Linked DNA regions of Drosophila melanogaster. The protein of the gene in region 1 interacts with the protein of each later gene in a pairwise test. Each region holds a gene or a part of one and is shown in the gene's direction. Other genes may lie near its edges.

What was found. Proteins that work in one complex are often made in the same cells at the same time.
Region 2: the proteins of alpha-Catr (region 1) and CG10257 interact in a two-hybrid assay, tested with the Drosophila melanogaster proteins (one large-scale study listed by BioGRID).

The regions. Positions count from the first base shown.
Region 1 is NT_033778.4:23,955,937-23,962,163, forward strand, and holds alpha-Catr (alpha-catenin related), read left to right. Parts: upstream 1-1,905; 5' UTR 1,906-2,253; coding exon 2,254-2,283; intron 2,284-2,395; coding exon 2,396-2,576; intron 2,577-2,636; coding exon 2,637-4,144; intron 4,145-4,202; coding exon 4,203-4,523; intron 4,524-4,576; coding exon 4,577-4,783; intron 4,784-5,283; coding exon 5,284-5,400; coding exon of another isoform or gene 5,401-5,469; 3' UTR 5,470-5,695; downstream 5,696-6,227. Other genes in the region: thoc5, read left to right, coding at 1-60, 117-359; CG16787 (uncharacterized protein), read right to left, coding at 485-1,246; CG13566 (uncharacterized protein), read right to left, coding at 5,719-6,011, 6,066-6,145, 6,210-6,227.
Region 2 is NT_033778.4:14,940,492-14,945,011, forward strand, and holds CG10257 (uncharacterized protein), read left to right. Parts: upstream 1-1,906; 5' UTR 1,907-2,460; coding exon 2,461-2,598; intron 2,599-2,707; coding exon 2,708-2,773; intron 2,774-3,279; coding exon 3,280-3,567; intron 3,568-3,647; coding exon 3,648-3,842; 3' UTR 3,843-3,978; downstream 3,979-4,520.

The DNA.
Region 1 (6,227 bases):
TGGATTCTGAATGTGCACTGGAACGGATGCCTTACCGCGCAAAACAATTCGGCGATCAAGGTTTGAACTTATTCAGGTATTATCCTCCAATTAGCTTTTAAACTTGTATTCCTCAGATGATGGAGTTCTGGACCAACTCCCTGCAGCCCAAACATTTGGAGCCCAACGACTGCATCCTGTACGCGCAGCTCTTCCGCACCATCTACAGCTTCGATATATTCCTCGAAACCGAGGGATCCATGCAAAACACCATTGAGTACAACAAGGAGAAGCCTTACATAAGCGCCTTCGCCAAGCGGAGCCGCTCACGCCCCTACAAATACATCAAGAAGGGATCGGTCTACGCGTTCAAGCAGTGACAGTTGAATAACGAATGTTGTACAACACAATGCGCCAATGCGGTTACTAAACGTTCTCACAGTTGCGTTTATTACGATTAGTAATACAATAAATAAGTAACATTTAAAGCTAGCTAGCTACGACTTCATTGGCAGTTGATCTTCTGGGAAGAGGTCGCTGCCAAGGATCCGGGAGGTAGTGCCGTCGCAGAAGGGTTCTCAACCGCCTCCCGACTCTCGTCCGGCATCACTTTGTCCACGACGTGCTTGACGATCAGCCCATCGTCGCCCAGATAGCAGACAGAGTAGCCGTCGTACCAGGCCTCCTGATCCTTCAGCACCTCCTTCAGTTGCCAGAGCTTGTACTTCCAGAACTGGAACATGACCTTCAGGCCGGAAATGCCGCGCACTCGCCACCTTATCCGCACTGTGTAGTCGTCCTGGTGCTTCGTGATCTTGAGCACCTCGAATTTCACGTAGGCGTACTTCAGGTGGCCAACCGTTCGCAGGATGGCGATCTGTTTGACGTAGTGGTACAGGCCCACCGTGTGCTTGCCCGTTATGTTGTTGTGGAAGATTAGGCCCGGGCTGTAAATGGAGTAGTCTAGGGGCTCCACGAACAGCTTTGGTAGCGTGGTCCTCAGAACCTCGTAGGCTCTATCCAGGTCCTCGGGCTTACGCTCGTTCTCCTTAGGGTTCCCGGGCAGCCTCTCCGCTTTGGTGCTCTCGTAGGCCCTTCGACTTTGCTGGAGGTTATTGGCGGCATGGCTGTTTAACAACTTTTGTGGACACTTCGCCGGCGCAGACGCACTTAGCCGCATGGCGGACGCCCACGCCCGCTCCTTGGAGCACCAGTTGGCCATCCAGCTGCTCCTTCTTATTGATGAAATCCCGAAATTTCGCAACATCTTGCAAGGACTTTGTGTGCTACTTCCTTCACCGGAACTGGGTTTCCTCGATTCAGATCTGCCTCGTCTGCAGATCACACCATTCAAATTGAACTTAGATCCTGGCTATTTTTCGTTTGCGGCCCTCAGGAATTTGACGTGCTCGTGTTTAGGTAACAACATTTGGAAATAAAATACTCGGCAAAAATCATATGGTCGTTGGGCTGCAGTGTGGCCAGACTGTGTGTAATGTCCCAATAGCTGCGAGTGCCAGTGTGGATGTTAGGGGAACTCCCGTTGTCCAGGGTTGTCATGCCGGATTAGTTTCACAAATTAACTTCCGCAACCGGAAGTCATGAAAATGGAAAATATAACTTATTTGGTTTGAATTTAGTGTTTCAAGCTTATTACATGAAATATGTTGTCTCTTTTTTGAAGTGCAATAATCTCAAACACTTTTCATTTATGTAAGTACATGGTTTTGGAGTTGCCTTATGCGGTTTTCTTGGTTGTTCTTCTGATAAATGTTTGGTACCTCAACAAGCATCGAATCCAGGCACTCGCATCCGCATCGAATCCCACAGGAGGCGTTTGACGAGAAACTGTTGCACTTTACAGTACTAAATGGTTTTGTGCGCAGACTTGCTGCGCAGACCAATTTGTTACAAGCTCGAATCACACACAAATCTGGGGGCATACACATATATCTGTCTGCAGGTAAACACGTTGTTTACAGCCACCCAGCTATATAACACTAATTTGAGCTGAGGAGCTTTCGCTGGCTGAAAAATCGACTTTTATTTGAGCTTAAACCCATAGAGCCTCGTACTATGACGCGCTAATCGGTGACCGTATTATTGAGTGCCAAATTCTCGACTTAGTTGCAATGTCTACTCGACTCTGCTAGCCCTAGTATTGAGAAAAATCAATAGGAAGTAAATAAAAATGCTGCATGCCTGAAACTCGCTTTGCGGATACTCTTAAACTACGTATAATCAATTTTTCTATCGGTAACCGAGCTATCCAAAATGTACGGAATCACTCAATCAACTGTTAACGTAAGTACCCAACCGGCTGTCCGGGATAACTTTCCGTTCTAGTCCTCAGCGATTATTGATTGGCCTTGAAACCCAACCAACTGCCAATGTGGGCTCTCCTTCCCCTCTCCAGAATCAACGCTTTCGAGTTCGTGATATGGATAACGAGCAGATCATGTCCACTTTTGGGAACATAGGTCACCTGCTGAACATTGCCGTGGAGCGATTTATAACCATTGGCGAGATCATCGCCGAGGAGAATATTGACATCAAGGGAGACATGTACGAGGCGGCGAAGGAGGCCAGAGATGCGGGTAAGAAGACATCCTTTCCAGCCTGGTACATCCTTTTCATTGTATTTTGTTGTACGATAGGAAAATCGATTGAACGACTTTGTGATATTTCACCTCTAAGCGGCATGGAGCTGCGCCACCACATCGAGCCCCTTAAGGACTATGGAGCCATCATTTTGGCGGCCCGCTCCCTGCTGTCGTCCGTCACGCGCATCCTACTGCTGGTCGACATCATAGTTGTGAAGAAGCTGCTGACCGCCAAGAAGCGGGCCTCCGAGAGCCTGGAGAAGCTGGAGTCGGTCATGAACTTCACGGAATTCGTGCGCGCCTTCTCCGTGTTCGGAACCGAGATGATTGAGCTGGCCTACCTCACGGGCCACCACCGCAACTCCTTCAAGGAGGAGCGACGGCGGGCGCAGATGTTCTCGGCCCGCCAGATACTGGAGAAGTCCATCGCCATCCTGTTGACGTCCTCGAAGAACAGCCTGATCCACAGCGACTGCGTGATCGTGAAGGAGAACCGGGACACTGTGTTCTGCCAGATCCGCAGGGCCATGGACCTCATCCATTTCGTGGTGAAGGACAGCATCTTCGACACGGCCAAGCACATGCCGTTCGAGAAGCAGGCGAGCAACCCGAACTACGAGAACGAGAGCATCTACACGACAATAAAGCGCATTGTGAACCTCATCAAGCGGTACAAGTACCAGATGAGCTACTACGAGGGCTCTGGCGAGGGCAACAACAACTCCGACGCCTACTTCAGTTTCCTGGACGATGACCTGTGGAAGTCGGAGAAGAACCTGCCCTCCGCGGCGGGCGGCGGCCGCATGGTGAACAACACGAACTTCAGGAAGCACCTCAGCTCCGAGAGCCTGGACCTGCGCGAGGAGCTCTCGCTCGCCTTCGAGAAGCTGTTCGAGAAGGCACACGACTTCACCGACTCCCCCTACATCAGCCACAACCATCGGAAGAACATCCTCTCCTACTGCGACAACTGCAAGCTGGAGTTCGACCTCTACCTGAACACCATCATGAAGGATCAGCACGAGGGTGGCGGTGGAGCCGGTGGAGTTGGAGGAGTGGGCGGAGGCCAGGTGAAGGGTCGGTCAGATCCCGAACTGGGTATGCTGAGCAGCCTGGAGGAGCTGTGCAAGCAGTTGGTCGTCTCCGTGTCCAGCCAGATCGAGGATTTCAACGAGTCGCTCAAGATCTGCTCCAAGCTGGTCAAGTCGTTCCACGTACTGGCAACGAACTACGACATCGACAATCTGAACCAGCGCTCCTCGAAGTTCCACGACTGCTGCGATCACATCTTCGACATCTGCAAGCTGCTGCAGCACATTGCGCCCACGGAGCGGCTGCAGGTGCAGGCCAAGTGCCTGGCGATCAACCTGCGGATCTACGGGCCGCAGGTCTTCATCGCGGCCAAAATCCTGTGGAAGTACTCCAACAGCAGTGCGGCCAACGAGAACTTCGAGTCCTTCTCGGACATGTGGAAGTGGCTGACGAACGAGATCTCCATGATCGCCAAGAAGATCCTCGTCTCGATCAACACCACCAAGGGTGACAGAGATGCTGATGCTGAGGTGGGTTGCTGCCCAGAGTGGGCGAGGTAATCACTAACTTACTTCCGATCTTCCCCAGAAATGCGAAAGCTCCTCAGACAAACTAACAAAATCCGGTGTACCTGCAACAGAAGACGGAGAAATGGTTGAGTATTCTGGCCTCGAAGGCAAGAACAACGGAGATCTGAACACATATCAATCAAAATGGAGCGAAGACTTGTCGGACGACAACGACATACTGAAGAGAGCCAAGAACATGTCCGCGATGGCTTTCCTAATGTATCAGTTTACCAAGGGCAACGGTTCTCTAAGAACAACTCAGGATTTGTTTACTCAAGCCGAATATTTTGCGGAGGAGGCCAATCGACTTTACAAAGTCCTCCGCCACTTTTCATACCAGGTAATTATCGGTTGATAATGGGCATCCGTGTCGCTAACTCTGCGCTTGTTTAGGTTCCCGCCAGTGACAACAAAAAGGATCTCCTCAACATTTTAGATAGAGTGCCGACTTTTGTCCAAGCACTCCAGTTTACAGTCAAAGACCACACGGTTGGTAAAGCCGCCACCTTCGTGAAGGTCGATCACGTCATCAGGGAAACCAAGAACCTTATGAACGTTATAAACAAAGTAGTGTCGAAGTGCTTTGAGTGCGCAACTAAGGTAAATAGGCCGAGGCAGGCCCACGCGGCCATTTCCTATATGTAGTGGATGATACTACAGACTTTCTCAATGTGTATGATTTCTATAGTTTACTGTGATATTAAAGCATGCATTATTACAGGTATGATTTTAGAGCTTTCGTTTGTTGCCAGGGGCGCAGGAGAAGCCTTTTGGTTTTTGAGGATGTGCTTCAATCCCCGTTTCTAAACTCTCAATCTTATTAGTTACATCTCTTACTTTCGACTTTGCTAATGTAGATGGCGCTGTATCTTAATCTTAATCGCTAACTTTTGTATTTCACGCATGTATGTACATATGTATCTTGATGTATTGAGTTTTGAGTTGAGTTGAGTTGATAGCTTGATAAGATCCCCCATCGTGTGTTTATCTAACCCAACTGTGACCTTTAACCAACAATTGGTTTTGGCCACTCATAAGCTGCAGTGCCAGCTCCTCTACGAACTCCATCCTAATCCTAATCCCCTTGCTCCGCCTTGCAGTACAAACTAAATTTAACTGGCATAACCGGAGGACTCACCTCGGAGCGGTCGAACGAGAACATGGCCGGCGGCATGTGCGATTCCAAGGGGACGACGAGCAGCAGCGACATTCCCTGACATTACGGGATGGCTCGCCGAGCCAAGGGGGATGCGCGAAGGACGAGGGTGTCCTTCCTGCTGTTCTGAGAGGAGCCCGGGGGTTTTGCTATCGTAGTCTACACTGTTGGCACTGCATTCCGTTTTGTGTACGCGTATTAGTTGGCGGCCGCTTCTAGCGTTGATTAATGTCGAAAACTTTATTAACATACGAGTCCAATTAGTTGTTTCAGCAGCACGATCTTATAATGCATATTTTGTTTCACTACATTCGATGTTACGGCAATAAAGGTAACGCAGATGCAGATACATATGTATCTCGAGCTCTTTCACTTGGGTCTACAAGTCGGTGCGTAGATAGTTCCTGCTGCTTTCGTTCACGATGTGAGTGCGGGGCATCATGTTGCAGCAGCTCATCTTCGGTTCCTGCGAAAGATTGTACACCTTGAGGGCCACTGTTTCCTTCGACTGGTCTGTTTGGACGGTGGAGTCCCTCAGCTTCAGCAGGTTCTTGAAGAACATCAGGTCCAGGGCGAACAGAGCGGCGCAGATGAAGCAAAGTGCTCCCAATGCATAGGCAAATATCAGCAGATCTTCGGACAGCTGCTCCACCGTGAAGAATATCAGTAGTCCTGGAGGAGAGAGTTCATCACTCTGACATTACTGCATCCCAGGAGCCATATTACCCTCTATGGTGAAGAACAGAACGCCACAGGTCAACAGAATTATCTCACAGGTGCCATAGTTTGAGGTGCCCTCGATGATCCTAAGAGGAGATGGTCTTAGCATATCATATATATATATGTCATAGTCACTGGGTGGTTAGTTACCTCGTGAGCAGCAGCACA
Region 2 (4,520 bases), 9.0 Mb from region 1:
TCCAATCCCCCTGGAGAATCCGCTACATGCACCTCCTGCCACCGTGCTCCGCGGCTCCACTGGCTACGACATCATCAGCGACAGCGCCACCGAATGTTGTCTGTTGCGGCACTTTTGGCCACATGTATTTGCATAAAAAGTGAACAACCAGCGGAATGGTCGTAAATTCAGCTGGAAAGTAGTGAACGAAAAAGCGCAACCGCGCACGATGGGCTGGAAAAGATAAATGGGCAAAATACCTTATGAAATATGGAGGTATTGCAATGTCACATATAATAAGAAAATATAATTTAGATATATAATTTATCATGATTTTTTAATCCAAAAATGATATACATAAATTAAATCTTATTTATTATAATATACAAGAACGAATTTATAATTTAAATTTGGGTATATTACCCAAACTTTTTTTTTTAAGTATATACATATATTAATCTTTGATTTAGCTTCTGTTATAACCTTGTACTCATTCAACTTGATTTACAAAAAATATGATGCAAAATCATAAGATCCTTTTCATTCAAATGGATTTTAAGGGTATATATGCATGAGCAAGTTCCTCTTACTGGTTCTTTATGTGTACAAAGTTAGTTAAAATACTTAAGGATTGGATGTGGAATATAACTAGATTTATTTTGCAGATATCCACAAGATATCCCATAGTGCTTTAGCCTGGGGATCCGCGAGGAAGCGTGGAAAAAACTGAATGTTTGCATGAATATACGTACTTATTTATTTTGTAGAGCACTAATAATTACACTAACACACTGCCTCCCGGGGAGCTTCGTGCTGATAGGGGAGTTGATGGGCGGCGGGCAGCCTTGTCCTTGTCAAATGTTTCGTTATCTGCCAACGCTGTTTTTGTTGTTGTTGTCAAGCGAACGCTTTCCTTCTTCACACACCAGCAAACACACACTCACATCCAGAGAAAGGCGAAAGCACGCCCATCGCCACCCACTCTGCCCCTTTTGATAGCGTCAACATCAACTAAAACTGTAAGCGACTTCAAACGGCGCTTTGTCAGTGACCTTCGCGTGCTGGTGCGATGGCATATGTTTTTCTTGCCACCCACACATTTGGGTGGCTAAATGGGTTGGAGCCAAGAGCTGGGAAACTTGATTTGACATATGATGTGCCCGTTTCGTTGGCGACTCCTTCCTTACCCCAATCTGGCCCAAATACATTTATCAATATCGCTTCTGGTCGATTGAAATACCAATAGGAGGCGGCAAGTCTTTTGGCAGCGTAAAGAAATCACCCATTGCCCACTACTAACCCACCCCCAATCGGTCATTAGCATTTTCGGCGTGTATTTATGGGCAGAAAATGTTGCGCCATAAACATGACAACAAAACAAAATGCGACAAATTTGCGACGATTGCGCCCATGTGGCACAGTGAGTTCCTCTATCCCCCAGGGCCAAATAATTGTCATCCAGAATAAAATATGTATGCACGAATATTGTTTGGCTTACGCTCAATTGGAGGCCGGAGGCATTGGCGAAAAACCAGGCTCATTCCGAAAAGTCAGCCAGCCCAATTGCAATGCAGAAACAATTGCATACTTGACGGGGCAAAGTTTATTTTTATGCGAGCGACACTCGGTGGGGGTATTGAGAAGTAGTTACAGTGGAGACTTGATAACGGGAACCAAAAGGAGAAGCACCATATTTGTGTAGAAAATGGATTGGGTATGTAAACTTTACAGTTATGTAGGAATAGGATTGTATGAGGGTGCCAAGTATCCGGCTTGAATGCTAACTATATTCCAAAGATCGCCGCTTAAAGTATGGCCAATATATGCGTGTAGGTCTTAGGAGACTTTCCCTGTACACACACTCAGCCTCATATCCACACGCACACGACTAGTGGAAACAAATCAACTCTGTTTTGGCGCCACGCGGCGTAGTTGCTCTGCACTTTGGCAGACCGACAAACGCGACCGCGACTCTCGGCCAGAAGCACGGCTGAGGCTAAGGCCAGAACAGAACAGAACGGAACAGAGCTGAGCTGGGCTGCCGGAGAGCCCGGCCAAAAGGCAAAGGCAGCCAGCCGGGCCAACTAGTTTTTCTTTGGCTCCTCCTTTTGGCTTTTATTGTACACGGTGGTTTGTTGTTTAGTGTGCCATTGGCGCTAACAACGTGCGGTTCGGTCTTGGGTTTTCTCGCCGCCCGTTGAATTCAGAGAGCGGAATAGATTCTAGCCCGATTTCGGGGTCTAAGCCCACAAACATAGGGGTGGAGTGAAAGTGCATTGCAGCCAGATCTGCAGATTAGACAAACTTGAGTTCCTTGAACTTCCCAAATATTATAGATATATTATACCTACGTGGTTTTCTCTGGTTTTGTGTAACCCATTTAGTTGGCTGCACTTTAAAGGCGATTACTATAAATATTAATAGGATTTATTGATTGACTGGCGGTGGGCCAGAGCCAGATCGACACGAGGCTTCGGACCCATGTCCTTTCTTTCGCCCACACTGCGCCTGGAGAATCTGTCCACGCAGCCCACGATGACGCAGGATCATGTGCCCGAGGACCAGCGCTATAACAAACAGAATATTGTGGCTCAATGGTGTGTGCCCATCAATGGCAAGGTACCTGCGATTATTTTTCAAAACCGCCACTTACATTTAATGGAAATTCGCGATAATTATCCGCCCATTCCCATTTTTATTTTTTGTAATTTTTATTTTTTTTGCGCAGATGTACCGCATCGAGCTGGAACATGGCACAACCAGTGGGCGGCGCATGATTTGGGTCAATGGACGGGTAAGTTTTTTAGCTCCCAGCGAGCTGAATGGGTGGTTGGTGGCTTTGGAGCTCGTAAAGTATTTGCATTGTGAAGGTAAACTTAATTACGGGTCGTGTACGTACGTAATCGTACTTCAGCAATGCAGAATGATATTTAAAAAGGTCTCATTTAGTTGATAAAAATATTTAATTAAATTCTTTGGGTCTTATTATTTCTAAACATATATGTATATACTTCTGTCATCCCTCACCGACATTTAGCATTTCAGTTTTTATGTTTAGTACACCGTTGGGTTTATTCTTTCTTACTAAAGTGCTTTAGTGCTTTAGAGTGCTTTTAAACTTTAAGTCCATATGAACTGTATAAATTAAATCGATACAAACAAACAAAATAGAAGATTTTACCAAAGACAACGGTGCGTATGAGTGATAAACTGGTAGAGCAAATGCAACAATTTAAAGGGCTATCAAAATGAACTATAAAGTTCATCCGCCTAATTTTCTTCTCCTAATCAAATTCCCAGGAAGTCCTGCGTCGCGACTGGATGTTCAAACTGGTTGGCGAAGACACCTTTCACATCGATCAGACGCGCTGCATCATACGCGTTGATCCTGCGCCGGGCTTCAAATACGAGTACTCCCTCTACATCGACGGCAAATCGCACGACCAGTACACCGAGGACATGACACGGCAATATCGACTGTGGCTATATACGGATGATGCGGCCGCCGATGCGCCGCAGGAATATAGAATAATGCTCAAACTGGACACGCTGAGTCTCTACGTAAACGATGAGCTGCGCACCGAGGAGGTGAGGGAAATGGGCTATTGCCACCTACACACACACACACACACACCATACTCACACACTTTATTACCCCCATATCGCAGTCGGTTTTTGTTCACGGCGGCACAGACACCAAGTTCCTGCTGCAGGACACGGAATTCGTGCTTCAGGCACGCTCAAGTGGCAATAAACATGATGGCATCGTTCACACTCTGCTGGCGAATGGGGTGGCAGTTCCGGAGGCGAAGATTCAGGAGATTATGCAAGAGCCGGTCTCCATTTTGCAGAGCAGCAACTGAGGGGCAATGGAAGGCTCCTCCATACGATACGATAGGATAACGTTTTGCATTTGTTGAATTTGTGCCCAGTTGTTAATAAACGTTTTTCGAAAGTTCTTTTCAATTTGATTAAAACATAAACTTTGTCTTATACAATACTTTATTCGTTTTTCTTTATATGCATAATTGTAACGCAACTATCGTTTACGTTTTCAATTTCATTTTGCTAGCATCTGGTAGTATATGCCAAAAGTGCATCCAGTTTAAAAAATTAGTCGGAAACATCAGTTGAAGAAGATACAAATTGATGTTATACGCTCAGTAAAATCATTATATACTAATTAAACTTACTCATAGAACTTGGTTATCAAACACAACAACATAATAATTGGGATAGGCTAAAGAATATTGGTTGTTACTAATAAAATCGGTAACGTTTAAGTGCAATTTGAAATTGTTTTTCAGTTTGTCCTGTTTGTTTTGCATTTAAATTGATTGCTTGCTATGTTCTTTAATCAAAAACTTTGATCAATATTACTTTCTTAGATTGCGTTGTATTTGGAAATTTAACAATATGCGCTTAATTTGTTCTCTTTTATTTGCTTTTCATACATTAACAAGTAACATTTTTGCTGAAATTTATCTTTAGCTTCAATTAAAAACACAATATTTTATTTACCTTCGCAACACAATGATATT